Lepisosteus oculatus: one gene and its partner. The protein of the gene in region 1 interacts with the protein of each later gene in a pairwise test. Links are inferred from orthologs where the notes say so. Each region holds a gene or a part of one and is shown in the gene's direction. Other genes may lie near its edges. The genes, in order: bag4 and alg13.

Evidence for each region.
Region 2: the proteins of bag4 (region 1) and alg13 interact in binary tests that used the Homo sapiens proteins (3 or more experiments, as listed by UniProt). The link is inferred for Lepisosteus oculatus from reciprocal best matches to the Homo sapiens genes BAG4 and ALG13.

What each region holds. Positions count from the first base shown.
Region 1 is NC_090697.1:70,604,537-70,620,820, forward strand, and holds bag4 (BAG family molecular chaperone regulator 4), read left to right. Parts: upstream 1-6,613; 5' UTR 6,614-6,789; coding exon 6,790-6,951; intron 6,952-9,575; coding exon 9,576-9,701; intron 9,702-10,199; coding exon 10,200-10,385; intron 10,386-10,496; coding exon 10,497-10,766; intron 10,767-11,404; coding exon 11,405-11,836; 3' UTR 11,837-14,330; downstream 14,331-16,284. UniProt on the Homo sapiens protein: Inhibits the chaperone activity of HSP70/HSC70 by promoting substrate release. Prevents constitutive TNFRSF1A signaling. Negative regulator of PRKN translocation to damaged mitochondria.
Region 2 is NC_090703.1:39,617,183-39,633,466, forward strand, and holds the start of alg13 (putative bifunctional UDP-N-acetylglucosamine transferase and deubiquitinase ALG13), read left to right. Parts: upstream 1-7,291; 5' UTR 7,292-7,387; coding exon 7,388-7,507; intron 7,508-7,882; coding exon 7,883-7,966; intron 7,967-9,503; coding exon 9,504-9,554; intron 9,555-9,653; coding exon 9,654-9,700; intron 9,701-10,553; coding exon 10,554-10,626; intron 10,627-12,737; coding exon 12,738-12,819; intron 12,820-13,953; coding exon 13,954-14,134; intron 14,135-15,577; coding exon 15,578-15,641; intron 15,642-16,284. Other genes in the region: cnpy3 (protein canopy homolog 3), read right to left, coding at 1-88, 1,170-1,275. UniProt on the Homo sapiens protein: Catalytic subunit of the UDP-N-acetylglucosamine transferase complex that operates in the biosynthetic pathway of dolichol-linked oligosaccharides, the glycan precursors employed in protein asparagine (N)-glycosylation.

The sequences.
Region 1 (16,284 bases):
GCTTTTCTGGACACTCCACTCAAAGCGCTTTACAGGTAATGGGGACTCCCCTCCACCACCACCAATGTGCAGCCCCACCTGGATGATGCGACGGCAGTCATAGTGCGCCAAAACGCGCACCACACACCAGCTTTCGGTGGGGATGAAGCCAGTTCATAGATGGGGATTATTAGGTCTAATTTCATTCGATTTTTCGAAAGGTCTGGGGTTTATACAACACTTAAAAACCTCAATTTATCAGATGTATGTATAGTAACTATTCACTACGTCCGAGACAGCTGTATTTACATCGCTCAAATCTCAGTAACATCTTGCATATCTGCGTATGTCTTTGCGAACTAGCTGCATATTCATAGACTGACAGAAAAAAGAGAGGTCTACTGGCAAAATGTTTAAGTTTTTTTTTTGCAGCTTCACTGATTTGAATCGAGCACCGAACCGTTGCGCCATCTGCTGGGAACATTGTCTCTCCTGTACAACTTGCACGGGACAATGACTTACAGTACCAACATCAAGAGTTGCAGTCTGTTGCTTTAACACTCGCAACCGTGAGAGGATGAAGCAGACATCGATGTTTTTATATGCACAACCAACTCCACACATTCAAAGCAAAAAAGAAATAAGTAGATAATGTGAAAGAAAAATGTACAAGTAGTTTGAAGTATTCAAACTCTTTGCCAAGGCAAACCTAAATTAATTCTACCAGAGCAGAAAACAAATCCTCAAATCCCAAATTAATTCAGCTGCACAAAATAACCTTAACTAGCTACATAGTTAGTTGTGTCATTAAGGACTGGAAAGCACCCATACACTGCCTGCCTCAGTTTCCTCCTTGGCCAGCTGCTATTATGCTGATGGCAACTTTGAAAGAGCTACAGCATTCAGTGGCTGAGACAACGTCCATGACTCAACAATATTTCAATCATTCCACAAAGCTGTGTTGTATGCCAGAGCAGAAAACAAATCTCAAATCCCACACGGGGTTTACAACAAAACATTACAAGACACTGCAAGATATGTGGCAAACGGTTTTGTGTGGTCAAACATGACAATTTTGGAACCTTTTGGTCTAAATGGAAAGCATTTCATTTGATGCTAAACCAGCCTAGTGCCTACTTAGTCCATACCATTCCTACCACCAAGGACGATGGTGGTAACATCATGTTATACTTCTCCTTGTCATCAACAGGGACTGGGAAGTGTGTCAAGACTGATGGGAACATACAGTAGATGGAGAAAAGTACTGGCAAATCTTAGAGAAAAGTTGCTTCACACCTAAAAGTGGCACAAATATTAATCTTTCAGCTTGACAGTGATCCAAGGAGCAAGGCCATATCTACAGATATTACAGAATCTGTTAATATCCTTAAGTGACCCAGTCAAATTCCTGTCTTGCATCTTTTTTACAATCTACGTAGAGACGTGCAAAAAGTTGTTTGTAAGAGATCTCCAAGCAACTTCAGCTTGAGCAAATCTGCAAAATTATACTAAGCTGATGTGCAAAACTACTTGCAGTTGTAACTGCTGTCAACAGTGCTTCCATCAAATATTGAGTTCACAGGTCTAAATACTTAAATTAGCAACATTTATGATTATTAAACAAGTTAAGATAAGATTTTTATTGTCCCCTGAGGGATTTTTTTTTTTATGAACACCCACTTTAAGATTTGCTCAAACTGTCAAGTTGGAAGGGGAGCATCAGTGAACTGCAGTCTTCTAGCCTTTCCACAGACTCTCAGTGGGATTCAGGTCTGGGCTGTTGCTGGGCCATAGGGACTTCATTGTGACTTTGGCTGTGTGCTTGGGATTGTCGTCCTGCTGGAATGTGAATATTTATCCCAGTCTAGGGTCTTGTGCTTTCTGAAGCACGTTCTCCTCAAGGCTTTGCTTGTACGTGGCACCGTTTCCTTCTCTCCTGACACGTGGCCCAGGCCCTGCCACTGAAATGCATCCTTATAAAATGAAGCTGCCGCCACCAGGCTTCTTGGAAGGGATGGTGTTACACAGGTGATGAGTTGTGCTCAGTTTGCACCTGGCATAGTGCTTTCTATTCAGGCCAAAGAGATCAATACTTTTATTTACGACCAAGGACCATCTTGCCCAATTGCTCAGCTATGTTGCATACTGTACCCTACAAACCTGTCTATCTCCTCAGAATTCGGTCATGGAGATGGTTCCTTAGTCTCCATGGTACAGATTCTTTGACATGGACAGTTAGTTGGGGGATCGTTTATCGATAGGTATGGCTTCAGAAGAAATGCATCAACCAATTGACCTGACCACTGGTAGAATCCAGTTAAGAAGGAAGTTCGATGCAGCCAGGCTCTGTTTGGAGTGTCGTAAAAAAAATATTTTAAATTATATGCAAGACAATTTCCCAAACTCTTCATTCCCCTTATTTGTGCAGATCACTGCCTCTCTGACAGACCCACACGTGCACAAGCCGGAGCCGTTTAGATAAACCCACCCCACGCTCCCTGAGTGTGAGATGGTGCTCGGGGAATCCCACTCACAGCTGGCTAGTGGCCTGACTCGGGCTTGAACCCAAGGACCTTCTCCACAGAGAAGTTCAATTTTGTCTCTCACATTAGGCTAGAAGCCAGGGCTGTGGAGTGCTAGGTTAATGGGATGAGAGCTCATTTCATTTCCTCCGTGCACTGCAGTCTACTCAGAACTACAAATGAGGGACAGCCATGTGGTGGTCAGGTGTCCCATCGAGTATGGAGCAATGCACTCGTGTCACAGAAAAAAAAAAAAACTCTGGCCAGATAAAACACACTGCTCACTGTACAGATTTCCCTTATCTTCAACACACTGTTGGTGCACAATACCTGCTTGAGCTAGCCACAAGTAATTAATTTAATATAGCTGAAAAAACAATTCTAAATGAAAAAATCAGGATAAACTAAAGAGCGGGAACAAATACAGTAAGACATGGGTCTTTAAGTATTCCCAGCACCCTATATATATATATATTCAACAGTCAATCACAATTAAGTGTTATATTGCACGAAAACAATACACTAATATTTTTAAAGACCAAAATGTTGACAGTTTTTTAAACAATTCTTAGATTGTTCTCTGTTTATTTACATGGCAGCTCAAAACAGCCACCGTTATTCTGACAGAATAGTACAAAAAACAAGAAGTCCTTTTCATTTAAGAAACATAATATGAAAATAACTACAGCAGCTTAAAACAAGTGCTTTGTTGCGATTTGCCCTGGCGTCCAATGTGACACATATCAAAGGTAACAAAAAGACGATTAGTTTAGATCCATAATTCGCCATTCATTTGAAATACTATTAGACAAAACAAAACGTGGCAAGTTCTGTTAGGGGTAAATATTTTCTTTCCTCTCCCTTCAGGACATGATCATGTTAGTTTGTGAAAACAACAACAACCTGTCATCATCTTGGTTTTAAAACTGAAAGGTCCAATTAAAATAAAAGGGATTCAGTATTCATCTAGGGTGTCTGCTCGTGGGATAGACAGTCCACGGTCCTTAAGTGCTTGTAGTTTTAATTTCTCTGCCTCTTGTTTAGCCTGCTGTTCCTCCCTCTGCTCTTCCAAAATCTCCTCAATGGAAACTTGCTGCAGGACTGTATCACTCTCCTTCTCCAGATCCTAGGAATCAAACACAGACCAGTTTAAGGCTCTCTGCTGATTTGATCTATTTTTATTTGATTAGTTAGATGTGCAGTGTGCTAAGATAAAGCAAGCCTGGGCAGAGAAAAAAAAAGACAACAGATATTCTAATAAGGCTGAAAGTTACGATACATCATCCTCAGTTTCCAAAGTCCTTTATAGGATTACCAGTGGAGCGTCCTTTATAATGTTTTCAAATTTCTGATTTGGAGATAATTTTTTCCCTTCTACATACCCAGAAAATCACAGATAATTTTTTCTAGCATCAATAGATCCAAGTTTTTGACTTCACTTAAGTTCAAAGTCTTTCCAGTTGATTGCAGTGAGATACCTTGCTATCATATGTTCGATAAATTGATCTTTTCAGAGGCATGTTCACAATGTGCTGAAAAGCCCAACTGCGCTACACATCCAGTAATTGTATATGACAAATGTACTACCATAGGTAGTGCCAGCTTCACCCTGCTGTGAGAATCTTTTACTTCCATTACATTTAATCTTCTGGGTATAAGCCAGTGACAGAGCTGTTTTCAAGACAGCATTCAAAGGGAGTTTGAGAAACTGGGTATTTACAACCAGATCAACCGCCATTTTTTCAAGCCTATTCTTTTTTGTGAAATTAGTTTTTCCAGATCAGTTTATTTTCAGAAAATAACAAAAACAAGTCTGTGTATATAGGACTGATTCAAGGAAACCGTTTTCAGAGCCACATCCTTAGAAACATTCCAACTGATGAAACAAGCTGCTATAGAAGGAGAAGCCTACTTACTATTTCTCCAAGCAGAACAACATTTTCCCCCCTCACTATAAATATTCCTCGAGGGATGTCTCCATACTTTCTGCCCACATGGATACGTTCCACTGTTTGATGCAAGACTAAATTAGCTGCAAATTAAACGGAAATGCAGTTAAAAATCCATTAGCAAGGAACTCTCAAATGCACCGATTCGCAGTGATCAAGTTAAAACTTTTTTCTTTCTGAAATGTTAGCTCCAAGATATAAAAATGTGGAAGTCTCAGTTGTCACAACACAGAATTTAGGGATTGTGATTAACATAACTACAGGATTTACCTACCAAGAGAAAAAACAGCAGCCTTTTTCGTTGAAATTGATCACTAACAAAACAACTAAGAAAATTTAACTGAATGCAACAAGAAATGAACTCATTTTAAAGGAACCAATTTCATTTCCGAGTTGTATGATGATACGCATGTCCTGGCAAATTGCATTTTTACGTTATCCCCCAAGTTGAATGCAAGTCACGGAGAAAATCTTTAAAGCTAAACCCAAGTGATCCACAATGATTCATACCAAACTGATCAATACTTCGCAGAAATCCAATCAGTGTTCGCCCGTCTCGTAGAAGGACAAGATGTTTTTCTGCAAAAGAAAAAAAAACCAATACAGCAAAAGATCTTGAGGGTAATCAACAATCAATGTTTTCACTATCGTTCACCACAGGACGTGCAACGACATCATAGTCAGGAACAAATAAAAACAATAACTTAATTGAGCAATGCAATGAAACATTTGATGTTTTAGTCTCCACTCATCGACAAGTATTATTAAATGTTATAGGGAAATAACACATGCATGGCAGCTAGCCGTAATGTCTTATGTCCTTGTAGGTCGGTTTTACCATAACAGAAAAGTAAAATGATATGTGCACGTTTATTTTGCGATAAATTATTATTTTCTAAACCGTTTCGACATGGTTCGACGAGGTGAGAGTTAAGGGAGGAATTGGGACACCTAACCTGAGGCATTCAAATATTGACTAAACAACATCGCCGTTTACTGCATTTTCTAAGCAATACCAGTCACTCACATTGAAAAACAACACGGGGAAAAGCCGCTTTACTAGCTGAAAAAAATAACAATACACCGCTTGCTCTTTCACAACCGAGCAGAGCTTCACAAGATACATTGTAAGGTACGGATCAGCAGTAATTAAACGTATTACTTACTGTCGATATCCTCAATTAGACTCGCTGTTCCCGGCATATAATTCATTTTCTTAAGCGCTATTCAACTATGCTATTTTAAAGTTGGAAATAATTATAAAGAGCCGTTTTCTGGCCATGAATCATTCAAAATGTGTGTATCCTTGCCTTGACAGGAAGTGCAAGGTTAGTGTAAGACCTGCACTTCCTCTGTGATTTAACTCTTTATTTGATGTTCCACTTAAGACAATTTACAGATCTCGTGAAGAGTGAAAACGCTAAATTGGGGATAAAAACATATTTATTGGCATAGTTACTAGTGGATATGCATGTTATAAATTAAATACATTTCACATTTGTCGTGCTCTTTTGTGTGTAACGAGTTGAGTTCTATTGATTGCAAATTTGAAGCAAATTTCAATATCCTACCGGAGAATTAGATATTACGCTACTATGGAGTGAGAGCAGAGAGACTGAAGAAGTTGATTTGTGTTATATACTCCCTATTCGTATTCAGTTGTTTTTAACTTGTCTTGTTCCGATTGAGAAGAGTCAAAACGTTACTGGAATATAAACTTCCCACCATGTCTGATTCAAGGTTAAATAGTATTGATTTTACATCATTAGGATTACCTAACCAATTTATATAATTAGTTATGCAAATTATAATCAAGAGACCAAACTCAATGATGGTGTTAATAAACACAGCCGTTACACTGTGCCATCATATAGCACCACGAAGCTTAAAGGAACGTATTCTGCAAGTAGATATGACAAATATTGACGCATCAAGGATGCGTTATTCCATCCCAAATGTCCCTAGAGATACTTTAGAAGAACCTTTGACGTCCCCTTTAAATTCCCCGGCAAAAACCAGAAGTGACGTCAGTCAGAAGGGCACCAAGACCCCGCTTTCATCTATAGGTCGTTTTCCAGGATGTAGGTGGGACGTGTTTCCGAGTTCTGAACACCTATTGGTCAAAAAATGATTTAACCTATTGACGTAAGAAGAGTGTGCCCTCATGTAATAATTGCCATCTAGGACGAGGAAAGCAGAGTTCCTCAAACTTAAAGGGGCGGTACACGTTTCGCGTCTCATTGTTTTATGTGGTTGTGTTCCGTTTTAAACGCACAGCCACAGAACTCTAACCGTACACTGGTTTAACAAGGAATGTCAAGTTGGTAAAATCGGGCTCAATGGCGTACGATTCGTTAGGCAACGAGAGAGGTCGTGCAAATGGTGGAGATCCTGTATGGGCGATGCACCAAATGCAATCAAATCCCAAAGGAACCTGGCCTCCTTATAGCAACAACTCGGAAAACAACAACTGGAATGCCCCTATGGTGACAGGCAGTCGGGTAAGTAGTGCTTAGCTTAGGATGCATATTGGTGATCTTTCGTGTAACTTGTGGCAGCGTTGAATAGGCTATGGGGCTTATCTTCAGCAGCTACAGTAGGATACCTTATAGATGTTCGAATCTGGTTGAATACCTCGTTTCTTCTTAATTGAACTTTATTATTCATTAATTTCCTTCCAGTATTTTCACTCGAGTGTCACACATTAAACGACTTGTCGTTGTCGTTGTTGTCTTAAGTACCGTATTAACCCCTGTATATTTTTACTATACTGTGCTGATGTAACAGCACACAGGCTTAGATCAACAGAACTATAAGACGGACATTTAAGGCAGACAATAACTTAAATTACTTAAAGCTACTTAAAAGCCGACGTGTAGAAGCAGTTTTCTTAACCACCTAAAAATATTTACTGGCTCGGCATCGTACCGTACAAAGAAGAGCAAATAATTCAAATAATTCCTTATCTTAGGTGCATAGACATTTTACCAAATATAAGGCATGACCAGAGGGAGCATAAAGTTGTCAAATAAACTTTTATTTACAGTGCAGCAAAAATGTGTAAAACTTTGCAAGTTAATACTAAAGTCCAAACCACAGTTTATAAGTAACCAGTGCAGTGATCGCAGGAGAGGGGTGGCATGAATACACGTGATTGATATAGATTTTATGAGGGAGTAAGCAGCACTGCTTTGCACAATTTGAAATCTTTCAGTTGTGTTTTAGAGATACCAGGATCAGTCCTAGAATAATAATAATTAAAAAAAAAACTAAGACGAGTTTCTCAGCATACGATAGTCAAGCAAAATACAAGTACTTCAAAACGATGCTCTAACATGTTGGTGGCCAAACCACTGGTCCTGGAGAGCTACAGTCCAGTAGGTCCTATAGTAACCTTTTAAATCTTAATTCGTAAATACATTGAACTTGTTTCTCAAGTGATTTTGATTTCATTTCAGATCAAAAATTCGTCTCGGAACTGAATGTCCTGCTTCTGTGGTCAAAATGAAATTGTTTCAAGCATTTGAAAATGGATTTAAGGGTGACCTTATGACCAGCTGGATTGTGCCTCTTCAACACCACGGCTGGCCACCGCTACTGTAGCTTCTTATTATACACACGATTATCAAATGACTGCCTTAAACTTCTGGATTTGTCAGTCTGATGCTGAGAACAAACTAATAGAAACTAATAGAACCTCAGTTTTATTATTAAGTTATGAAATTTTGATACCTACAAGATTACATGCAAAGACTGTTAGAGTATGTGACCTAGAAATTAGGTCATTATTATCACCAGCATAGAAACAATAAGTGTTCTGCCTCTGTATTATTTGGATGAAGGGTAATATATACTGTACTATAGTTAGTGGATAACAGAGAGCCCTGTTTTATCGACTCCGATGAACACCAGTAAGGAACAGGTTTGTGGAAGAAGTACAGTGAAGAAGTGATACACACTGTCTTTTTGTACAGACAGGACACAAACTAACAAAGGACAGAGTTAGTAATGCAAATTTTAAATTGTTTAAGGGGATTGTTATAATGGACAGCGTCAAAGGCAAGCAACACAAGAATGGTCTAGCAAACAGAAATGGTCATTAACAAATAATTTACAACTCGAACCACAGCAGTTTATGTGCTGTTTTTTAGCCTATACAGAGACTGAAATGGAAAAGTTTCACTTAATTAATTTCTATTCAGATGGGTTTGCAACTGAAGGATCACACTAGAACAGTTGTTACAAAGAAAGATGTGAAATGAGTCTGCCTTTGCTCAGGGTATTTTTACTTAATTACTTAATAATGAAAACAGGTGGTCATTTTAAGTATTCCAGCAGTCAGGTCAGATGGAGTTTTTTGGAGATTCCAATCATATTCCTTTAGTTCTCAAAGCAGAAATATTTGATCTGATGACAGCTTTCATCTTCCAAAAATCAGTCACTAGATAAAACAGTTTTTGCTTTGGTAGAATGGACTCATAGATTAAACAGATTGAGTGTTTTCTGTCTGATTTCCATTTGCATTCAAATTGACGACCTGCAGAACTGGACCCCAGTTCATCAAGTTTCGGGACAATGATGCCCAGCTGAAAAGTTTAATCATATCCTTCAGTGACAGAGAACCATGATTATAAAGACGTGATTCTAAACTAAACTCAAAAAGATCTGCCACCAGGTTTGTTCAGTAAAACATTTTTTTTCCATGTGAGTGTCAATTAAACATTTTGACCATGGTGTGTTTAAGAATTTTGTTTTGCATTTTTCTTGAAATGACAGCCAAAAAAATAGAATATTAAAAAATCAGTTAACGTTCCAAGAGTATTGATACACGGGGAAATGAAAATATCTCCTCTAAGTAACTAATATAATCACATTGGGAGGATGGTGGTTAATCCCTATATTCAGGTGTAGACAGCATCCTTGGGGTTTGTTAGCCTACTGTTGATAAAGGAATGCAGAACTAGTACCAACATGTTGGACAAAGAGGTCCACATGTACGATTAATCGTCCCCTGAAGGAGCTGACAGATTTTTTGGAGGAGGCTGGTTTTTGCTGTTCTGTAGTACTGCAATACTCTTTGCCGCAGTAAACATGGTAACCTTCTAACAGCTGGTTTGTCTCATAGGACTCAGTACCCTACCCTGGCTATCCATCCAACTACTGGTACCCACCATCTCACCCAGCCGGTCCATATTCAAATACATATTCTCCTGGAACAGAAGTCAATGGACAGACTCCATACAACCCCCAGGTACAGTATTGAGTGATTCTGCTTCACTGCATGACACTCAATCGGTGGACTGGCTCACTCAAGTGTTCCTCCCCTCGGTCTATAAGAGAGGTTGTTTTAATCGCATTATACTATCAAGCTTGATATTCTCAATATTCAAGTGAAAAGCCATGTGCATCAAGTTGTTTCACAAGCTATTACAATAGTAATCAATAATTGATTGGAAAACTGTGTCATATTTTATACTAAGACTAAAGCAGTAGAAGTTGTGGATAATTACATTGGATTAAAGTGGCCAAGTTGGACTGAACTTATGGAGTTTAACATGTTGAAATGAGTCCCTGGCAAGACTGAGTGCAATAACTCTCTTAAAACATATGTTCTGTCAAAATGAGTAAGAAATTTCACTTCCTCCTCTCTTAGTTTATATAGGATGTAAAAGATGTAAAGCTCTGGATACCTTTTGCTTTTGTTGTTTGTGTGCTCAGAGATGCTTTACAATTCCATTTTGCTTCACAGGCAATGCCAGCCTACCATAACGGGGTCTATTCCGGTGCTCTCCACCCCTCCAACCCCTTCTATTGTGGTGATCAGCCACCAGGAACACCCCCATACCCGTCCCAAGGGTGCCCTAATCCTGCGACAGTAGGAGTGGGCCAGCACCCTTCTCACCACCAACGTTATCCCGTTCCACACTGCCAGGGGGTAGGGTACTCATCACCGCTTTCTTCTGGGCTGGCAGCTTTGATACAGAACTAAAGTTACATCACAAGAACCAACAGCTGTTATCCTACTTTTGCGTGTCTCCTCTCCTAGGCTCCTGGTTACCCTCCTGCTTCCTACTCTCACTACGGAGATGGAGTTCATTCAGTACCCCAGAGCCATGCGTATCCTGCTCAGCCTGCAGTGCCCTCGAGACCTCCAGCCGAAGCCTGGTCTCACCCAGGGGGCTACGGGCACCCTTCTCACCAACAGTGGCAGCCAGGCCCCCAGCCACCTCCTGGCCACTATGGAAACCCTTTCCTCTCCACACATCACTCACCCTGGCCCAGCCCTGAGCCTGCCACGCCACAGTACGACCCAAAGGTAACTGATGGCGGGCTGTGAGAATTCGAATATTTTTTGGATTGCTTTGCTTGTGTAACTGCAGAGGGAAAACTAAATGTGCCCGGGGAGCTTCTAAAACAAAATCCTGTTTTGTTTCTGTAATTCCTATAAATGTGTAACACATGAAAAACACAACATATATGTAATATGAAGTAGTTCAGGTGGGTAGCTGCGTCAGCATGCGTAGGCTGCAAAGGAACAAGTAATAGGTTTATTCCATGCTGAAAAGAAAGAATACCAAACGTTTCGGCCGTGGAGCCTTCTTCAGGTGTGATACTGTACATATAATGTAGGGACCTTGAGGACAAGTTGATCCAATTTGTAAGTAAGCTATATCTCTTGCATTATTGAAATTTGTTATGGATTTGGTTTATAGAGCATAGACTAGTGCCAGCCTGTATATTCTTTTGTTAATTATTTGCTGACGAGAAAATAATTCAGGTCTAGAAATAGTGGCTTGGCTTTTGTAAACTCCCATCTGTATAATGAAGTTATTTCTAAGATGATTTTGTTGATCTATACTGTATACCTATTTTGATTTTCACTTGCCAAAGTGTTTTGATCTTTTTCATGGTTTGTGTTGTCACCTGCCTTTCTTTTTTTTTTTCTTTTTCAAGCAGGACTCTCAGTACTGCGGCTACTCCCACCCAAATCAGCCTCCTCATCCCGGTGGACCCAAGCCCAGGTCACCGAACCCTAACCCCGGACAGGGCGGGGAGTACAGCGCCCCCCCGCAGTTGTACGGCAAGACGGGAACGGCACAGGAGCCTGCCCCGCCTCGGGAGGCGTCTCCGCCGAGCGACAACCCCGGCCTGTCCCGGGTGCAGCAGGTCCTGGCTCGGGTGGGCCTGCTGGAGGAGGACGTCGACGAGTTCGTGGGTCATAAAACGGACAAGAGCTACCGCTGCCTGGAGGAGCTGCTCACCAAAGAGCTGCTGGAGCTCGACTCGGTGGAAACCGGGGGGCAAGATCTCGTCCGGCAGACCAGAAAGGAGGCCGTGCAGAAAGTACAAGGCATTCTCGACCGCCTGGAAAGGAAGGCTTTCTAGAGCCTCCCCACGTTTCTTTTAGAAAGATGCACTCCTCCCATCATCCCAGCATTGGCACAGTGGCCCCACATCCTGGTGATCCCTCCTTTTCCTGTTCCACTGACCCCTGTAACTCTTACAGGATTCTCCCATGTATATTTTAGATGAGCAATGATATTAATCATTCAGGCCATCCCTGGTCCCCGAGAGTCCAGTTTTCCAGAACCCAGCAGGATTTATGGGTCACCCATGAACCTTCAAATTCCAGACACTTTCAGCAATTTTCCTTTGAGCACCGAACCAGGTGAGTTATTCAGTTAGACCCTTTGTAGATTCTTTGAAATGAAGCCCTCTTAGCCCTTAAGAACCACCAATGTTTGTTTCTGTCTAGAATTGATCCAAACCTCACATGCCTTCCAAGTTTTAAGAAGTGGAGGATTTAGGGGTGACCCGCAGGACTCTGACCCTCCAGAGCTGGTTTTGCCACCCATGATTTCAGAGGTGTCCCAAGAGTCGCTGTAGTGCACATTCCATAAAAATTAGATTCACCTAATCTTGCTGGGGTATCTACCAACATGGAAAGGGCTAAAGTACTGTTCTGGGGTCTCTTTTTCCCTGTATCGTTTTTTTTGTCACTGATTTTTTGCATTCATTCTTTTATTTCCACTCAGCTGTTGCAGAGACATTCAGAATTGGAGTAACTAGGAGGTGCTGTTTGGGGAAATAATAGTTTACATATAATCAATATGGATAACATTTTTTATAAAGTGGATTATTTATAAACATTTATTTTTACAGATATATAATTTATAAGCGTTGTACTTGAAAACGATATCCACCCTCTTCTGGGATTCCCAGAGTACACTAGGTGTTGGTGTATATGGAGCACAAAGTGCGCTAGGTGATCCACTAATGATATGAATTGGCGTCATGTCCTTGTATGAGTAGATTGGCACAAGGCCATTGGACTTTACTGGTTTGTCTTATTTCTTACACTTACATTTTTCCTTGTGAAAATGTGAAGTTCTTCCCCGTCTGTTGTCTGTTTGGTCTGTATCCCAGTACCTGTGATGAAACAAGTTGGTTCGGCTGGGAGGTATTGGGGTCCCCTTCCCCATTGTGAGAGAGCACAGGTAGTGTCCGGCTATGTTGAGGAAGCTGCTGTACAGAGAACTTATACAGCTCTGTAGGAAATAAAACAGCTTGATTATACTTTTAGGTTTGCTTTATTTTTACAACCATTTGTGTCTATTTTTAAGTGTTTCAAGGGTTGATGTGGGCACCTTAATGTACCTGACTGTTTTCAGTCGCTTATACTTTTAATATGTAATGAGTCTGTTGTTTTCAATTTACACATTATGTGAGTAGTGGGTTTATTTGATAAAACTTTTAGTTTCGTTTTGCGTTCAGAGACATCTGTCGGCACTGATCATGAACATTCTTACCAAAGTATTTCTCATAAAAGTAGATCATTATTAATGATGAAAAGTGTAATGTTTGTGACTTTGAAGTAAACAGCTGTCTATAGTCAGGTTCTTTAAAGATTACCTGTGTTGTAGACCGCTTCTATCCTTGGTTGATTTGGGGAAAAAATAATATTACTAGTCTTACTGGCAAAATACAAAAATCATTCGTGACTTAGCAAATGATATGTTTTGATAGAATTCCCATTGTGTTCATCCCAGCTAGGTTGTTTATTCAGACCGAAAACAGAGAGACCACCCTGCAATTTTCAAACATATTGTTTGAAATCCTTAATCCATCTCTGGGGGAAAATGACTATCACGTAAACATTTTATACATCTTGAAAAGAACTATCCATTCCAGTCACAAATCATTGAAAAAATCATACAGGTCTGAATTAACGATCCAAAAAAATGCATGTTGTTGCATATAATGTCCATATTGTTTGCTGTATGTGTAAGAATTATTTTCGCAATGGCACCTTCTAAAACTGATACTGCATTTTACACAGAACTCTGAGAGCAGTTTTTATTTGAGCAGTGAGTGGAGCCAGAGGAAATGACTGTCCTACACCAGTTCATCTCTGTGTTGTCACTAGTCACAGTGTGGGATACCAGGCTGTAACTTGCCAATATCAGAATACTACCTGATCAATCTTTCAGTCTGACCAAGACCAAGACCTCCATTTGAACATTTTGTGGATGCAAAGCTTGAGAAGATGGAAAACCTGCTTATATTCTGTAACTACCAAATAAATATCCTAGAATCACATTTTTATGGGTTCCTAGAGGCACAAAAGTCATTTTTTGTGATTGTAATGTTAGATTTTTGTGTAAGTAATGAAGGATATTTTTTTCTTAGTACTGTAATATTGGCAGGCGTTTTTATCATCTACCAAATCTGTGGAGCTTTGCAAATGAAAGGAGAAAATGTTTCAGTAATCTGATCAAATTTTTGTTTCTGCTTAAAGTTCCTTGACAGTCTGAAGGGAGGATAACTATGTACATATCATCAGTTTCTTTAATAAAAGTTTTCAGTTTGTACACAACAACGTGTTTCCTTTTTATTTCAGCAGCCTCTAACAGCAAGACTCCTAGTCGATTTCTTGTATTTTTACATTTCACAATTTTTATTACTGGTTGTATCATTATTATTTTTTATACAGTAAGGACATGTGGGATCCTGCCTGAACCGATGGAAGATGATCAGGAACCAGTTTGTATAAAATGCTCGTTTCTCAGAATGGGAATGATTATGTAAACCCATTTTTCACCGTAAGTGGGCAGTGTTTGATTCGTCATTACCAAAGTAACCATGAATGACTTTGGAGATGTTATCTGTATCCCTTGACAAGACGGCTGTGTTGCACAGCACATACTGTTGAAATCAACCTGGTTGTCCACATTATTGTACAATCATCTGATTGCTTAATTAGACTTTGTGCAAGAGATTTTAATTTTCAAACTAAATTGCTTATCCTCCGTTATATGTTGGCCGTGACACATTGTACGTGCGTTCATATTTTTTTTCTACAAATTTAACGTACCCATACACTTTTAGGTGTAGTTAGTCCTAATGTACGGTTGTATACACCTGCGAATAATTGAATTTCAATAATTTTTCTTTGATGCCAAAGAAGCGTAAATCTCTGATGTTCTGTATTATTTAAAGGGGGGGGGGGGGGGGAACACGATTGTCGAATTTTTTGGGTCCGTCGACATATTTGATGATAAGACGTTTAAAGTTGCGTGTTCTTACCACTGTGAGGTCTGGAGAGCTGCGGAGGACTGTCAGCCTAGTGAAAATCTCACCGTGCAAACCTGTGGTCAAGGACGATATTGAGCCGGACAGGTCGGACTGGAAAAGACCCAGACTGGCGCGTTCGCGTTGCAATGGGATTGTTCGGGGGGGACTTTACTGAAAAGGCTTGCTTTTCCCCAGAGACTGTCTCTGAATACATTTTTGATTGACAGTTAAACTGGCTTTTTAAATTTTCTCCACAATCTCAACAATTACACCTGACCAGCGTCCATGTGACCGTATTAGCAAAACAAAAGAAACTACTGAGGTTTTCCTCTTCTTGTTGGAGAGGGACGTTGTGTGTAGACGCGTAAAATAATAATAATAATAAATGCATTTCAACTGTTTTCTCAAAATGTGGTTTATTGCTTTACATCGACACACAAATAGCAGAAGGGCATTAAATCGACGGACGTTGTGTTGTCAAAATCGTATCTAATAAGCTGTATCTATTGAATCCCCAGTTTCTATTGAACACAGTATGAGATCCCGTTTTTGATTTTTTTTCAGTGGGATCACCATTATTAAATAATAACAAAATAATTTCGCAAGAGGTACATACCCTCCGTCTAGATTTATTTTGTGACGATTATAACATTCCGTTGGTGATTGTTTTGCGGGGTGGCAGAGGGGGGGGGGTGAGTGGGGTAAGGGCAGTGGGGAGGGTGATTGATACAAATTGAGTGAGGTTCCTCTGATATAAACAAACTCATCATCCGTCGTGCCGACTGCTTAAAATAGACTGCTGGATGTCAAAAGCAAAAAACATGGCTTCTGGTAGCCTGCTGGAATATTCGTTACAGGGCTGAGAGACGTCGAGATACTCAAAGCAACAGAGAAAAGGTAGGCTTACTGTAAATCCATACTGGATTCGTCGATTTTCACATTTTACGAATAAGAGACTGAAGAAGGAACGCAGCGCACTACGAAACCAACACGCTGATTTTTTTTCTACAGATAAATCCAGGGATTTTTGTTTATTCGTTTTTCCCCCCCTAGAATTAAAATACATGTAAAAATGGTGATAGCACGTAGGGAGCAAAACTGTTTACACTTTTTTATTTCTACACTTATTTTTGCTGGTTGATTTCTGCAGGAAACCGTTCGTATTTTAATTTATGACTTACCTGTTAAAGGACTACTACAGTATGTCTGCATGCATGTTGCTTACAGCAACTTTCTGTTAAGGTTTGAAGCTCGGCTCT
Region 2 (16,284 bases), on another chromosome or scaffold:
AAAAAACGATACTTTGTGTCAATCACTTCTTTGGTTTTCCCCGTTTCTTCAAAGGCAGACTTCATCTCCACTGACACATACTTGCACACTGTTAAGGACAAAAAGACTCTGATTGCACAAAACAACACAATTGTTTCAATTCAAAGTTTTTGAGTGTCACATCAGTGTGCTGTAAAGCACTTTATCTTTATTGAAGATATAATGCTTCCTTCATATTTGTGGACAAAAATCTAAAGGATTCGACACTAAAACGCAGTATTTAAAGGGCAATGTACAGCTATCGAAAAATAATAGCACCAATTTAATCACCTGGACGCTTTTTAATAATCCTTTCACTATGTGTAGTGTCACTGTATAATGTAAAATTTAAGGCATGCAATCCTTCCAGAAGCAGACTGAAAAATGAATACTAAAAAACAACAAATTCTATATATACAGTATCAAGCAAAAAACACTGAAATGTTAGTAGTTAGCAGCACATGCACTGTTTTGATTTTTAGTACTGCATTCGTTACCAGTTTCACTTCTGCATTTTTGAAAGGGGGAAATTCACAAATAACGTCTTCGCTAATATATAATGAATAACATTATATTAGTATATTTGCACTTAGCTCTCTATTGGCTTTAGGGAAGCAAACCGACCTGTATTGCACGAATCGTAAAATCACCACAAAGATTGCAAACACCATTACTGTGCGCAAATGGATTCAGTAACACAATTACACACACACACCAGTCAGTAAATTAAACAAGTGCACATGAAGATCATGCAGTTTTTCCAGTGCCTGGAGAAATACTTCGGCACATTGTACATGCATTAAATAACTGAATTTGTGTTATTGGTGTTCTTTTGAGGGTGCGATTCTGTACTGTAACCCCTAAATACTGTTTACAACCTAATGTTTCAATTGGTAGAGGTGGTGGAGGGGAGTCCCCATTACCTGTAAAGCGCTTTGAGTGAAGTGTCCAGAAAAGCGCTTTAAAAGTGTGAGCAATTATTATTATAAACAGCAAAACCGCGGTTTATCGTGCACTTTTAAACTATACATTGTTGTACAACTCAATTAACACAAAAAATCCTCAGAAATCCTCAAAAAAACGATCAGAAAAAAGCAATAACTCGTAAATGCTACAAACAGCAGTTCAGCTCAATACTATTCTTATCTCACCCTCGCATTTATCCGGCAGATGCACCCATTCCTCATCTTCATCTTTTTTTGCCGACTGTGAAAACGTCGTCAGTACGAACAGGCCCAGGAGTGCCAAAGTGCGCATTACTGAATATTAAAAGAGAATGACATGAAGCAAGACCGATGCGACCTTTATACTAATATGTACTTTATATATGTTTAACCAGAACTCCCCCTCACTGTTTTTTCCTGAATGAAACTGCTATATCCGCCTTAGCCAGAAGCTACCATGCGCAGCTGGGACTAGCCGTCCAATCAGAGGCGAAGCAGTGTCAAGCTGTGAACCAATCACAGGCCGGACAGGAAGCAGGCTCAAATTTGGCCCAAGAGAAACCATGTGATGCTATAGGAGCAGAAATAGAAAAACGTCTTCCAGTTTCATTTATCTTTGGGGATCAAAACATTTTTGTGGGGTTTCTGCAAAAATAAGAATTGTATTTCCCAATGAAGCAAATATGTGTGTCACTGCATCCAGCATGGATCCATCCAGGTGGATGCTGCACATTGGTGGTGGTGGAGGGGAGTCCCCATTACCTGTAAAGCGCTTTGAGTGGAGTGTCCAGAAAAAGCGCTATATAAGTGTAAGCAATCATTATTATTATTATTATTGCAAAATAATTATTTAATTTTACATTCGATCGAATTGTATGTTTAGCAACAGGTGCCGAACGTTTCACTTTTTTTTCCTTTTTTCAGTAACTTTGAAAGACACTTGTCTTTCTACAGCAAAATCACATAAGCCAGATCCTATCAATACAGCATCAACGCTCCCACAGCTAACATTAAAACTGATCTCTGTAAACAACTCCCTTCTTCAATGCAACATAATGTCATGAATTGTACTGTATAAAGGTGCAATATTGCATATTGCACGTATGAAAGGGTTTTTCTTGCTTATAATTATTCTCTTCTGCAATGGACTGGTGTGCCGTCGAGTATGTATCCTGCCTTGTGCCCATTTGCTGGCCTCGATCCTGCATTGAATAACGAGGTTAAAGGATGGATGAATAACGATGCACTTTATTCAGCTCAGCATGTTTAACTGAGTAACTGTCAGTCCTGCACCTTTTTATGCAATATTTAAACAGGTTTTTTGTTGGAATAAAAGCTATCAAAGTAAATGACTTCCTATTGAAAGAAAAACAATTCCTTAGATATTTCAGGTTCACCATTACATTACAGGTTTAACATAACATTACTACACCCTCTTGTAGTTTTAAATGTTATGATTTTGGAGCAAAATGTATCTAATTAAGCACATAAGTACAAGAAGTGACTGAGCTCTCAGCTGTATGAAAGGGCATTCAATAAAAAGACTTGTAGAAAAATGACAGGATAGTTCTATCTACCTTGAAATAGCCTAGTTTCCTTAGAAATAAGAGTCTCTTTTGTCCTTTTTTAAAATGGTCACAGCATTTGTCTCAACTCGGGTTTTTGTTTATGACCAGTTCCATGTACTTGTAGTCACTGACAATTTCTACAGTCTGACCATTAATTACAGTATGTTGGAGGGGTATTGCATTTTTTTTCTCAAATCAATGACCAGCTCCTTTGTTTTTGGAACATTAAACTGCACAGAGAGGCCGTCGTACCATTTAGTAAAGTCATTTAGAATGGGTCCATGATGGTTTTCTGGGTCCCTTAATAAGGTGCCCAGGGCTGTCTGTGTGTTTGCTTTTACAATCGTTAGTTTACAGTAGGGGAGCAAAACACAGCCCTGCGGTGATCCAGTGGAAGTATAGCGAATGTCAAATAACCAGTTCCCCAATCTGACCCGTTGAGTCCTATTTGTTAAAAAGTTACTGTTTAGTTTGAAGTTCTCTGAGTTTCTGTGCAACCAACAATGGTTGTATTGTGTTAATAGTCTCTCCAGGTTTTTCATTGGAAGAGATACAAGAGCCACTGGCTTGAAGCTGTGAAGCTCAGTTGGCCTGGCAGTTTTTGGAACAGGGATAACGATGGGTTTCTTTCACAGAGAAGGGATGATTTGTAGATTTAAGCACATTTGAAAAAGCATTCTGACAATATCACACAGCTGATCTGCACAAGATTGCAGAACACTTTCACACACATTATCTAGACCTGTGCTCTTTCTCACATTCATTTTCTTAAATGGCTTATAGTACATACCTCAGCTGGTTCAATTTTGATAGACTCTCCAGATACTGGGAGGTCAGCACTGTAAGTTGGGGGGTGGTTGTGGTTTTCATTTCAAAATGGGTGTAAAACACATTTAAATCAATTGCCAGCTGTTGATTAACCATGTCATTTAACACAGGAACAGTATTACCCTTATTCTCGTGAGTGATACTGGCCACGGATTTAATACCCTGTTATGCCGACCTTGAATCTCCCACAGCCATGGTATTTTCTATTTTTATCCTGTACTGTTCCTTTGCTTTCCTTATCTCCCTTTTGACTTCTTTCTGTGCTTCCTTCCTAAGCTCCGTGTTCTCTTGAGAGAAAACAAGTTTCTTTTTAAGCAAAACACGTTTATGGCTCTTGGTTACCCGGGGTTTGTTATTGGGTTAAACCTTAAGGCTTTTGGTAGGAATGATGGATGTCTACACAGAAGGAAATGTAATCGGAAACCACCTCAGAGAGTTTGTGAATATCCTTTGATGTGTCTTTAAACACATCCCTTTGCGTGCAGTTGACACAACCCTGTAGCTGTTCAGTTCTGTCCGTGTAGCAGACGGTCATATGCCTTCTCCAAAAGCAGAAAACACATGTGGACTGGATTATCGTTCTCTCACGCACCCTCAAGCAGCTGCGCCAGGGAACAGAGCTGGTCCACTGTTCCACGGCTAGGATAGAATCCACATTGTTCCACCTGCATCTGAGGCTCAACTACCAGGCGAAGTCTCCTTTCCAGTATCCTGGCATAGGCTTTCCCATGGAGGCTGAGGTGAGTGATCTCCCTATAGTTGGAACACACCCTCTGGTCCCCCTTCTTAAATATAGGGAACACCACCCCAGTTTGCCAGTCCAAGGGTACTTTACCCACCTTCCATACAACATTGAAGAGGCGCGTTATCCAAGCTACCCCAAACACTGTCCAGTGCTTTCAACATCTCTGGTCACATCTCATCCACCCCCGCAGTTTTACCACTATGGAGTCCTCGGACCACCATACTGACTTTGGCAACAGTGATGGGCTCCCCTGCACCAGGTATGTCTGTCATTGTCTTCTGATAGGAGGGCACGTCCACTGGGTTGAGTAGTTCCTCAACGTGTTCCTTCCACCATTCAACAATTTCCCCAAAAGAGGTCAGTACTACCCCCTCCCTGCTTACCACACCTGAATTCAGTAATGACAAAGGTGTACAATTTCATCTTAGAAAACATTGCATTTTTAGATGTGTCTACCAGATTAAACCATACTGTTCTATGTTGAGATAAATATAAAAGTAAAAAAAAGGAATGAAGGAATTATGATCTAGAATTCCCATTTTACTCATGAAAATCAACCCTTTCCTTGTTTGCAGGTAGCCATTCTTATTGACTCCAATGTGACAAACATCAATGCTCTTCCCAGGACTATGAACAACAAAAGTATGTTATAGGCTTATTCCATGCTGAAAAGAAAAGAAAGAAAACACATTGTTTCGGCTGTGGAGCCTTCTTCGGGTGTAAGGGATTCGGGTGTTGCCTTACAGGCTTAGTGTTTTTTTTTTTTCACCATGGAATTAACCTATTACTTATTCCTTTGCAGCCTACGCATGCTGACGCAGCTACCCACCTGACCTTCTTCAACTGACCCACTATGCCTTCCTCTAAAACTTTTTCTAGATCTCTTTGTCGTTCCTTCTCTTCCTCCCTGGGCTACTTGCCCCCTTTCTTACTAAACCAGCATTCCGGCTCTTCACAGCGATCTGTTCCAAGACCAGGCTTTCTCACCACCTCCTATTCTTTTACTGATGTCGTTGTTAAAATATAATTCGTAAAGGATTTGGCCTGAAATTGAACACTTTTTCTTTCGACTTCGACTCTGACGTCACATAGAGTAACACTCAGAGACTTCTACAACTTCTACTTTTATTTAAAATAAATTACTCACACCTGAAGAAGGCTACACAGCCGAAATGTTGTTTTCTTTCATCTCTTTTCAGCATGGAATAAACCTACTGTATTACTTGTTCCTTTGCGGCCTACGCATGCTGACACACCTGAACTACAAAAGTATGTTGTCCATTAATGGGGAAGGCACTGCAGCTGCTTTCCAGGTCAACACTTGGGACAGGATATTAAGATAAGATTACTTTATTAGCCATATACAATTTCTTGGATTAGGAATTTGTTTTTTCACATACCCCAGCTTGCTCTCCATGAGACACACAGGCGGGTCAACTGTTTATATGGCGTCCCTGGGGCAGTTGGGGTTAAGGGCCTTGCTCAGGGGCCCAACGCAGTAGGATTCCTCCACCGGACACCGCATTTGAACCAGCAACCTTACAGCCACTGGCGCAGATCCTTAGCCACAGAGCCACTGCTCCACCCCTATTCCACAGAGCACATCATACTCCACGATGGCAGCAAAGGCCTGAGGACCCAAAGAGAAATCAGGTGGTCCATTCCTTCAGGGGAGGGGCTGAGAATGTGACACAGAAGTTCATTCTCATCTGAATAGTGATCTCCACCCTGCTGCCAAGAAAAGACATGCAATACCACACAACCCAAAGAACTCTGAGATCTCAAGAAACCTACAGTACCTCATGACCTCAGCATGTGATCCCAGCACCCAACATCCAGCAACATCCCAGAGAGGAACAGTAGGACACACAGCACCTTCTGATAAACCACAACTCACAGCCAAAATAAGTAATTGACTGTGAAATAGCCTCCCCCATTCCAAAGTAGTGCATGTATAATAGTGCCGTAATCTAAAAGTCCTAAAAATAAAGGGAAGTTTCAAAGTTTCAATAAAGGAAAGAAATCAAAGAAAGGTTCTGAAGGTTACTGGGTACTGTGTACTCTCAAATCAACGGGCTTGAACAGCATGGATCTACTGGTTAAAAAGATATTGCGTGCAGAACATCTTTCCTCCCGTCAAAAATATAGCATTCTTAGCTAAGCCTTAACACAGAAAACAGATAATAAAGAGTTTCAGAAATCAATGAAAGGTTGAATCCAGATGCTTAATTGTGACCTATTTTGAGTAAGGTGTATTTTTCTTCATATGGTTCTGTGCAAGTATTAATTTCGCATAATTACCTGCAGAATAGCAATTCTGGAAATCTAGTGCACGCGATACACCGCGGTTCCACCATGTCGTACATGGTATGCCTATGCGTAATTGCGCATACACAAAAAGGTTCGGTTTCTAAAAATGCAATTAGCTGTTGGGCGGGGCCATATGTGGGGTTGGTGGTATGTGTACATCACACTGTGTTAACACCATATTGTTTTAATGTTGTAGAAAAAGTTCTCAAACTCGTGATTTTGATTATAAAAATGACAAGTGGTTTGTGCGTTTTCCTTGCAAAGTGACGTGTATCTGTACGGAAGCGCATTGCCACCATCAAGGGAAAAAAAAGAATGACCATTTGAGTGTATGAACAACCTGTGTAATGACACCACCTAGTAACCATTATTAGCCGAGCAACAACTTTAGGGGTTAGTGCTCGCGACAATGTCAAACATTGCATGGTGTGCACGGACTGACTTTCCACTGGGGTTTATTCAAAGAAAATGTTCATGATTTATTTTCTCGTAATTACGAGATAACGCATAAACTATGTTTTCCCTGATGGCAGCAATGCGCTTCCGTACACCTGAAACGCCGGGTGTCAGAAAAAATGGGCATTTAAATTATAAAGCTGTGAAAACACACTTAATCATGCTTAACAAAAAGTAGTTTGATTTATCTAAGTCATTTTAGTACGCATTTGAAGTTCCAAACAAATCGATATCGAACATTGAGCTAAAAACATCACCCAAATGCAATTTATACAAGTGTTACCAACTCCCAAAAATAAATTAAAAGGTCTCGGACAAACTATTATTTGCTTTTAAGCACAAATGGCCAAGAAGGCTCAATTTCTAATTTACGTAAACCGTTTTAGCCACCTGAAATTGCTTTGCTAATTAGAGCACTTTTGTACCGGGCCGTTTCGAACGTCTCTCTCTCAAAGGAATCTTTCAGGCATCGCTTTCTTTCGTCTCTACACGGTGAGACATAATGTACTGCGTTTAAAATGCAAAAAGGCTTAAAGAAATATTTTATGAACATGGATGATTATCTTGCAAGCATTGGCCTTTACAGAAAAATGGTAGCAAGGGACGCGTCCTGTCTTTTCCGAGCGGTTTCTGAGCAGGTAAGTCAGCACATATATTTTGGAATAAAGCTGTTGCACCTTTCACAACATTTTCGAATTCCCCACATTTCGGTGTTTGTGAATGTCGTGATCTTTGCTTTATAAACCTTAATACCCAATTGTTTATCGACTTGTTGGTTAAGTGTAAAAACAAGGTAAACACATTGCAAGATTTTATCATATTATTTGAACATGATAAAGTATTGTAATTAGATGTGTAATTGTGTGAAATGTTACGGTCTTGGCTCTCCCATTTTCAGAGACTTAACACTTAAAAACGCATAATTTCGTGTAAAGCTTATGTTTGTGTTATTCAGGGTTAATTGTTCAATGTTGCATTCAGTATCGGTTTATTTACATTATCTTTCTCTCTAGCTTTATTGCTCGCAAAATTACCACCAGGACGTCAGGAAAGCCTGTGTTGATTTCATGAGAGCCAACAGGTGCAACTTTGAACCTGTAAGTTGTCTTGCATTACATTATTAAGGCTCATTCATTTCCATTTAAAACAACGTGAAATGTAAAATAAACGCTTTTATGCTATTTAATTTAAAATAAAACGTCGACAAACACCATCGTGCCTTTATTTTGAACGTGATAAAATAGTGTAATAAGATGTGATAATGTGTGAAATGCTATAAGGTTTGGGGTTTATCGTTCTGAAGCTGACACTGCAGAAATAGTGGTTATAGAATGACAAATTCATCGAATCCTGAATACAATACACTTGAAAGATTAGTATTTAAAATAACTTGAAATTAACTCCGTCTGCAGTAGAAACGCTTTCCTAGCATTTTAACAGATATACGTAGGGACGTCCACGTGCCTCGGACGAGTAACTGAAACTTCTTGGGTGTTTATTGAGGTAAATTTAGAAACGTCTGAGGCAGTTGAATATTTTAGTTTCTTTTCGTCTTTGAAGGTTGAGGTTTTGAAATGGAAGGAATGCTCAAACTGAGCTTCAAACCTTTACTAAATGAAATGGATTACAGCATGAGACCTGCTAATACAATCGACTCTAGAAGTGTGAAAAATAATGCGATGTAATTTTCTATTTTACTCGATTATTTGCATTTATTTTTTAAAGATGCAAATTTCGAGATTATAATATAATCTGTATTTGTGTTGCCCACTCTGTCGTGTTCAGAGGTGAAAAGAGCTCAGCACAACGGACTTAGCGGTTAATCAGAAAGATAAGCAAATTAGCATGAAGGTAAAGTAAATGGCATGTTTTAAACAGGTGGCTTCAAATGATGGCTACATTAAAAATAAAACAAGTGTAGTCGGGCCATGTATGGTAATTAAACAATAGTGTCAGTTTAATTAAGGTTATGTACCCCATTTGCACTAATTGAGTTTCAGGCCAATTTCATACTCCTACTGTGTGTCAGGTGCTAACTCTAAATTAAATGCATTAGAAGATATTTTAAGCAAACTTACATGCCACTGCTTTAAAAAAAGGTGCTCAGGAACCAGCCCATCAAAGACTAGCAAGACTGGTAAAACCTGGAAGTCCTATGCTGACAGCCTAAAAAATATTTTTTAGGATTGAAAAAGTTCATATGATGATGAGGAAACCCGATACAAGTATTCAAAATCATCATTGGCATTTAAAGTAGAGTTTTTTTTAGAATGAACTGTAAACAGGATCCAAAGGACATACGTGGAAACTGAGTGGATGTGCATTTGAAAGCGGGAATAGGAGACTTTTCTTTACACAAAGGGTGGTGGAAGTAGGAAACAAGCAGCTCAGCCGTATAGTTGAGGCAGATATTGTGGCTTCCTTTCTCTGCTGGTTGGATGAATTAACTACTAACTGGCAAATAGGTTAAATGGCCTCCTCTCATTTGTAACCATTATGTTCTTAGTTGTCCCTTGAGGTCTGTATAGTTATAGAAGAAATAAAAAATACAAAATCCTGTTTTAAATTTTCTAAAAATCCCTTAAATTGGGATTTTTAATCATGGAATACCTTTTCTGTTTTCTTTCTTTCTAGTTTGTGGAAGGATCTTTTGAGAAGTACTTGCAGCGTCTGGAAGATCCAAAGGTACGCCCCTCTGTGATTTATCCTGAAACTCCTCTCGATGTGAAGCTTTAAGTGGTTCTGTAATGGTGTCACTTCTTGTTTTAATGCTTTTCATTGTAGGAAACGGCTGGCCAAGTGGAGATTAAAGCTCTTTCTCTGCTATTTAAGTAAGTTATTCTCTACCGTGGGGGTACAGTGTGCAACGATAATTGGGTTCTGTGGCACCTTCTGTATATACTTCCCTCTAAGCTGTAATTGTTTTAATATGATCACAGTGTTCTGATATTACGTTCTTAATAGAGGTTTCTTAAATACTTTAAAAAGAAGTACAGCACTAACATTGCATAACTGCAAGGACTGGCACTATGCTGGGGAAGAGTAATCACTAGATACGGATTATATACATTAATGCCAGGTTAAATACACAACACCTTCATTAATGCAATTGGGTAAATGTCTTCAAAGAATATTGATTTAGGTTTTGTTTTGATTTCACCACTATGAAAGACGTTTAGATCAGTTCTGAATATTTAACACGCCTTTAACGGGGAGCTGTTTGAACAGGTAACTGAGGGGTTGATCAGTGATCATAGCTACTTAACTAGTTTATGATGCTGAAGAACACCTTTTTCTAGAACTGAAAGCAAGTTCAGTTTGAACCGAGCCCAAGGCAACCGAACGTTCCCATTCCATTAAGCCTTCCCATTCGGAAAGCTCTTCATGCATGTTTTCCCCAAGTGGGTTGATTAGTCAGCGTTAAGGTAATCTGAGAGGAGCTTGTGAAGAAGCCTGCTCGCATATGGTGTTAGTGCTGTAGTTCAAATTGGAGATGAATAGTTTTTCAATTACGAACTGTTTGAGCTGGAGCCCAGAATTGCTACTGTTGTAAGTGTTTTAATATGCATGGTTCATGCTGTTCTGTTTGCATTATGAATTGCTCACTGGACAGCTTTTCAAAATCTTTTAATTTGACCTCTTATTTATTTTGAACCATATTCTGGTTTTTATATTTGATTGTAGGCGCCAGTTTATCATTTATAAGTCCCCTGGAAAATCGCCTACTGAAATTGCTGAGAATGAGTGCCCAGAAAAGGTAATGAGCTTTGTGAAAAGGATTGTCACTCTTCTTAAACCACCCGTTTTCCTGAAACCTGGCATAGTTCTGTATTTTTTGCAATTGTTTAAATAATGAGCCATCTGACTGAGGCAAACCTTGGGTTGAAACACCTATCATTAACCTGCATGGTCACAACCAGGGTTTTTTTTGTCCTTATCCTATGGTTAGGAGGTCTGATGTACAGGATTTTGAAGATTTTCCTTAGGTTGTGATTCTGGAGAGGTGCTTAGAGCTCTGAAAAAGATTGCAGGCATTCAGTAACAGTCTCCCTGTTATTTGAAGGTTAAGAGAGGGGTGCGAATGTTTTGTTTACAGCTGATGTACAGTTTATTATTTGACTGCCATCACTTTAGATGGAGAAATGTCCCAGATCAAACTTAAGGAAAATATTTGCGTTTGTTTACGTCGCCTGACTTCAAGCCAAAATATAGATTGGGATTTCAGGTGTAGTCTTTCAGTGAACCCTGGTAAAGGCTTGATATATTTTTTTACTTCACCACTATGGGCAACAGTTCACATCCTTTCCTTAAATGCATAATGCCAATTATCAGGTTTCCCTGATTTACTCAGAAGTAACTTTTTTTACTTGAAGAGCAGTGCTGTGAGGTTTAAGGCACTAAATGTGGAAAAACAAAATACTTAGTAACACATATTAGTGTGCCTGTGAACACCATTGATTCTGGAAGTCAAAATAATAGTGTATTTCAGCAGCAAACCATAAACAGTCCTAGGCTTGCTGAGCACTGCAGTTTAAGAATTGAGTAAACATGCAAGAAACTGACCAAATTCCAGGAAAATATTTAACAGTGCTGTATTTACAGTATATTGGTGTGATGGGGGGAAAAAGGAAAGCTTTTATTGATAGTTATTCCTGTAATTTGCATAGTAGGCTAAAATATTACAAAAAACATCTAAATATTTCAAAACAAACTTTTAGCAGAGGTCTGGCGAGATTCTTTGGAGGATGGAGGATGGGAACATTTTAGGAAATAACCAAAGTACAGTGCTGTAACTGTATAGAAATTTACAGATTTTGATATTTGAAAAAGCCTCACCTAGATCTGGAATAAAATAAATTGCTAGACAGAAAAGGCAGGTTTGTAATCTGTGGAAACACTTTGTTGTCTGGGCAGTCTTTCAATAAAAAATCAGCAGAGACTGTCTTGCTTTGAAGGCGGCACTAATGTGATATTCGCCATTGTTTAACCCTAAGCTAATACTTAAGTGTTCTGGTGAGATTTAAAGTTAAAATGAACTGGTAAAATTTGGTGCTTATATTGGCTAAATTAGTTTTTGAGGCTTATGGTAATTGAGAGTAACTGAGAGTTACTTTTGCAAACCTTGTTCTTTGGACGGGTGTCTAGTGGTCTGTGGCTGGCACTGTCCAACTTGCTACTCTTAGAAATGGAAAAAGGCTAATACACTGGAGCCATAAGGACCAGAGGTTGTGAATGCTACAACAAAGAGGTTTAATCTAAGATTTGAATATTTGTTCTCCTAACCCCCCACCCCCCTTTTCTGTATTTGTGTTGATATTTTGGGATTTATAAGGAAAAAGACTACAAGTGCTAACATAATGCTGTGTAGTACTTTTAACAATTAGATGAGACAGCTCTTAAACAGCAGATGGAGCCATTTCTATGCGCTACAGGCAGCAGAATTTAAATATTTTACCTATCATATGACTAAATGTAAACCAACTGTGAATTTCTAGCTGAGTTTATCGATCTAGACATTTGTATTAAAAATTCATGATTGGGGGTTTTAATTTTCTTCTTTGTGCATTGTATAACAGCTTTTGTGTTGCTCAGATGTACAGTATTAAATTTTATATGGAGAGCACAATCTTTCTTATTAAATTGTAATTGAACCTGAAACTCAATTTCAACACTTTCAAGTTTTTGCCATGAATTATTAAAGTTTGTGAAGGCTTTTGATATGATTGCATTGCAAATATTCAAAAAGGTGAAGCATTCCTGTTGGCCTTCTGTATATCATTTATTGATTGGTAAAATACTGCCTAGAGAAGACCTTCCATTCAGTCAAGAGACACCATGTGCATTGAATTGTCCCTCCCTTGGTTTCAGATTTTACTGTGCTGCTCCAATAATGGCCACTATGATATTGTTTATCCAAAGCACTACCCAACTGATGCTGCCTTGTGCCAAGGTGAGTACTTCAGTTCAGGAGGTGCTCTCTCCAATTCCAGTGTCAGCTGAGTTATTTGAATAAGCTCTTGATTGACTCAAGCAACTTTTGGTTCTTTAACTGCTTAAGATATTAAGTTTGATTTAAAAAAATAATTTGAATATTTTTGTCAAGAATAGCTCCCTTGATATACACATTACAGTATGTAGTTCTTGGAAGGTCAGCTGTTAAGTCTCTAGAAGCTTAGTTTCCTAGTTGCTGAAATGATTGTGGTATTTTTTGTAATTACTCTTGGGTGTTTGGGTTTTGTTTATACAACATTTTTAAATCTTGCATTTCTACTCCAGATTTTCTCATACTTTGAGGCGCTTGAAATAAGACTACTATAAATATAAACTTTTATAAAATCCTTTATGCTATAATACATTCTAAGTGACCCACTGTGTCCTAAAGAAGCAATATTCATCGTCTTCTGAAATTATAATAATGAACTTCATTTTATATAGCACTTTTAAAGGTGGCTTCTTAAAGCATTTTACAGAATGACAACAAATAGAAGAAATACACAATGAAAACACATAATGAGAAGAGACAGTAGATGGGGGTATTAAATACAGAAAGAGCAAAGCAGTATATACTGTACCAGCACCAGTTAAGTTCTAAATAATTTAGGTTAAGGTTTTAAGACTAATTTGAAAGGGAAGATGACTTTCTGACACAATTGTATCCGTTTTTAGTCATTACTTTTAGTCATTACAATTGTAATTATATTCTTGTGATTTGTAAAAAGTTTACAGAGCTTTACTGGAGCAGTATTTTACAGCTAATCTCTCTCAGTGATCACGAATGCGCAAAGAGAGAACTCACAAGTGCATTTTACTCAATGCAATTGGTGAGGGAATGACAAACAGAATATTTGGGGTGGACCTATCTTCTATCCACCAGGTTCATTTCTGAAAAAAAAAATGAAATGTATGTTCGCATTGCTGCCTGGAGCTGGAACTGGAAACCCCCTGGAATTAATCCCAGGACCCCAGTGCTACCTAACCACTGTGCTACCTTGCTGCCCCTAATGCTATTACGGGAATAATAACTTTTCACGTCTATAGGGTGCCAAATGGAGATGCTTTCTGATTTTGCTGTTCTCTTTCCAAGGTATTGTGTATGAGCTGCTTTACAGCAGAGTGTTCAGCATTGAAGAGGTAGAGATCCAGGGGGCACTGGAGGCCTTCCACAGTGGCGGGCACAGATACCACAACAGCACCTCTGTGGGCAGTGAGGATGCCAGCTTTGACACCCCTGATGACAAGACCCAGAGGAGCTCTTCAGAAAACAAGTAAGGCCTTCCATGATGCGCACATTCCAGAATATAGAGAACACCAACCCCCTTCCTTATTATTATTATTATTATTATTATTATTATTATTAGTTATTTTGGAGTCTGCTTCAGAACAATGGTTCTGTTTTGTAATACTGTAGTAATTTGGAAAATGTTTACACCGGGAGGAGGCTTAACCATAAGAGACTGTTCTAACATGCTATAAACTCAGGAAATGACTTCTCCCATCTCAATTCAAGCAATGTTTCTTTAGTTTTTCAAGATGGTGGTTCGAGCGTTAATGCACATCTCCTTTACCACGATAAGGATGACGAGGCTTATTTCTGCGAAAGTATTGTCTTTAATGCATAAATTGCAAAATTTTAAAGGGCAAAGATTACTTACCTGACATGATTCATGTTTTGATGCATTTCTGAGCTCCCATCTTATGTTGTACACTTTCTCTAATCTGACCTTGCCTCCTCTTATTACACGTAGAAGGCATGATTCCTTATGAAGTTATGCAGTTAGGACTCACTGTGACATTCCTATTGTGTCATTATGCAATTCATTTGGAGCATACAAGTGTTATACATTATTTCTAAAGGTCAGCCACAATTCTTCACTCTGGGTTTAAACTTTTAAGAATAATTCTTGCATCCTTTTGCAAATTCTTAAGCTCAGTAGTGGGTGATTATAGTTTATGGTTGCCTGCAGGCAACTGAAAGAGGATCTGAGAATTTTGAGAGTGGAGCAGGAGTGCCCTGCAGGAGTTGAAGTCAGTTCTCAGTGGTGATGTGGTCTGGGTCATACTTAAAGCTGTTTTTCAGTTTTCTCATCAATACATTTTGCCCGTGTATTTTTGAAAAAGCATACAAAACCTTGGATACGCTGATTTATTTAGTATGTTAGTAGTAATCTTTAAAAGTGCACCAAATTTGATATCAAAGTATTACTGCACTTTTGTATAGCCAAGGCACAGATGTGAAAAGCCCATGTCAAATACAGTTGCATTAAAGACTTGACTAGATCTGTACATATGTATTTCGTGCTTGACGAAAGTGCTTTTTTTGTTCACCCCAAGGGCTAAATTATAGATTTCTGCTACAGTTTATTGGACTTTATTTCATGTAGATAAGCTGTGTGAATTCATAAGACGTTGTGTACTCTAATTCGGCAAAAATAATACTGAAAGGAGCAAACTGTAGCTGTTATTGCGTATTCAATGTGCCCATTCCCTGTACCAGAAACATCTGAACTATTATTTTGAATGCAGTCCTGCTAGAGACAGTGAGAATTAACTTGGACCTTTTATAAACTGCCATTGGAGACTATATCACTAAGGACAATCTTGTTTTATTGGCTAATTATTTCCATCTATAATTAAATAGCTGATTTTTAACAATACTTTTTGAGGTTTTTAAAAGAAGGACTTCATAATCGATTGTAAATCTGCCTTAGGGAGGAGTGGGAGACAAGTGGGCAGAACCGCTGTGAAGGAAAACTTGGGACAGATGATTCTAAGGTGAGAATTGTTTTCAAACCTGAGGGGGTGGACTATGGCCCACTGCTGAGAGATCTCAATGTTGATCATGTTAAACTATATATAATGTGAATAATGATTTAGACAGTTGTCAGTGTTGTCTATGGAACAAAAAGTTTTGCCCTCATCTGGCAAGTCCCCGAATTGCTAAAACAAATTTGTACTGAGCCACTTCTGTATTATACTTCACAGTCTTAATTACAGTACTTTTAGCTGATTTGTGTAGCCAGTAGCACTGTAATCTGCTTTTGTAACAGTTGGAGAGAACTCCCGCCACAGAAGACTGTGGCACAGCTTTTTGGTCTGCTAAATCATGCAACTTGTAACATATGGGACGGGCAGCGACCCCGGCTGGTTTGCCTTTCTAGACGGAAGCATACTGTAGGTAGTGGAAAGAAATGTTTGGAAAGAAAAGGGATTAAAAAAAGGAGCTAGTTGATTTGAATAGTTAAAGTCTACCTGAGAGACTGAGGACCGCAGGTTAGTTTGTCACTATGGAAATGAGGCTTAGTCTGCAAACTTTCTGGAGGTTCAAAAGGTATCTGCATACTGAAATGAATGAAATCTACTAGTTTGAATGCTTTCTGTTCAGTATTCAATCTAAATTGTGTTATTTTGACTTACA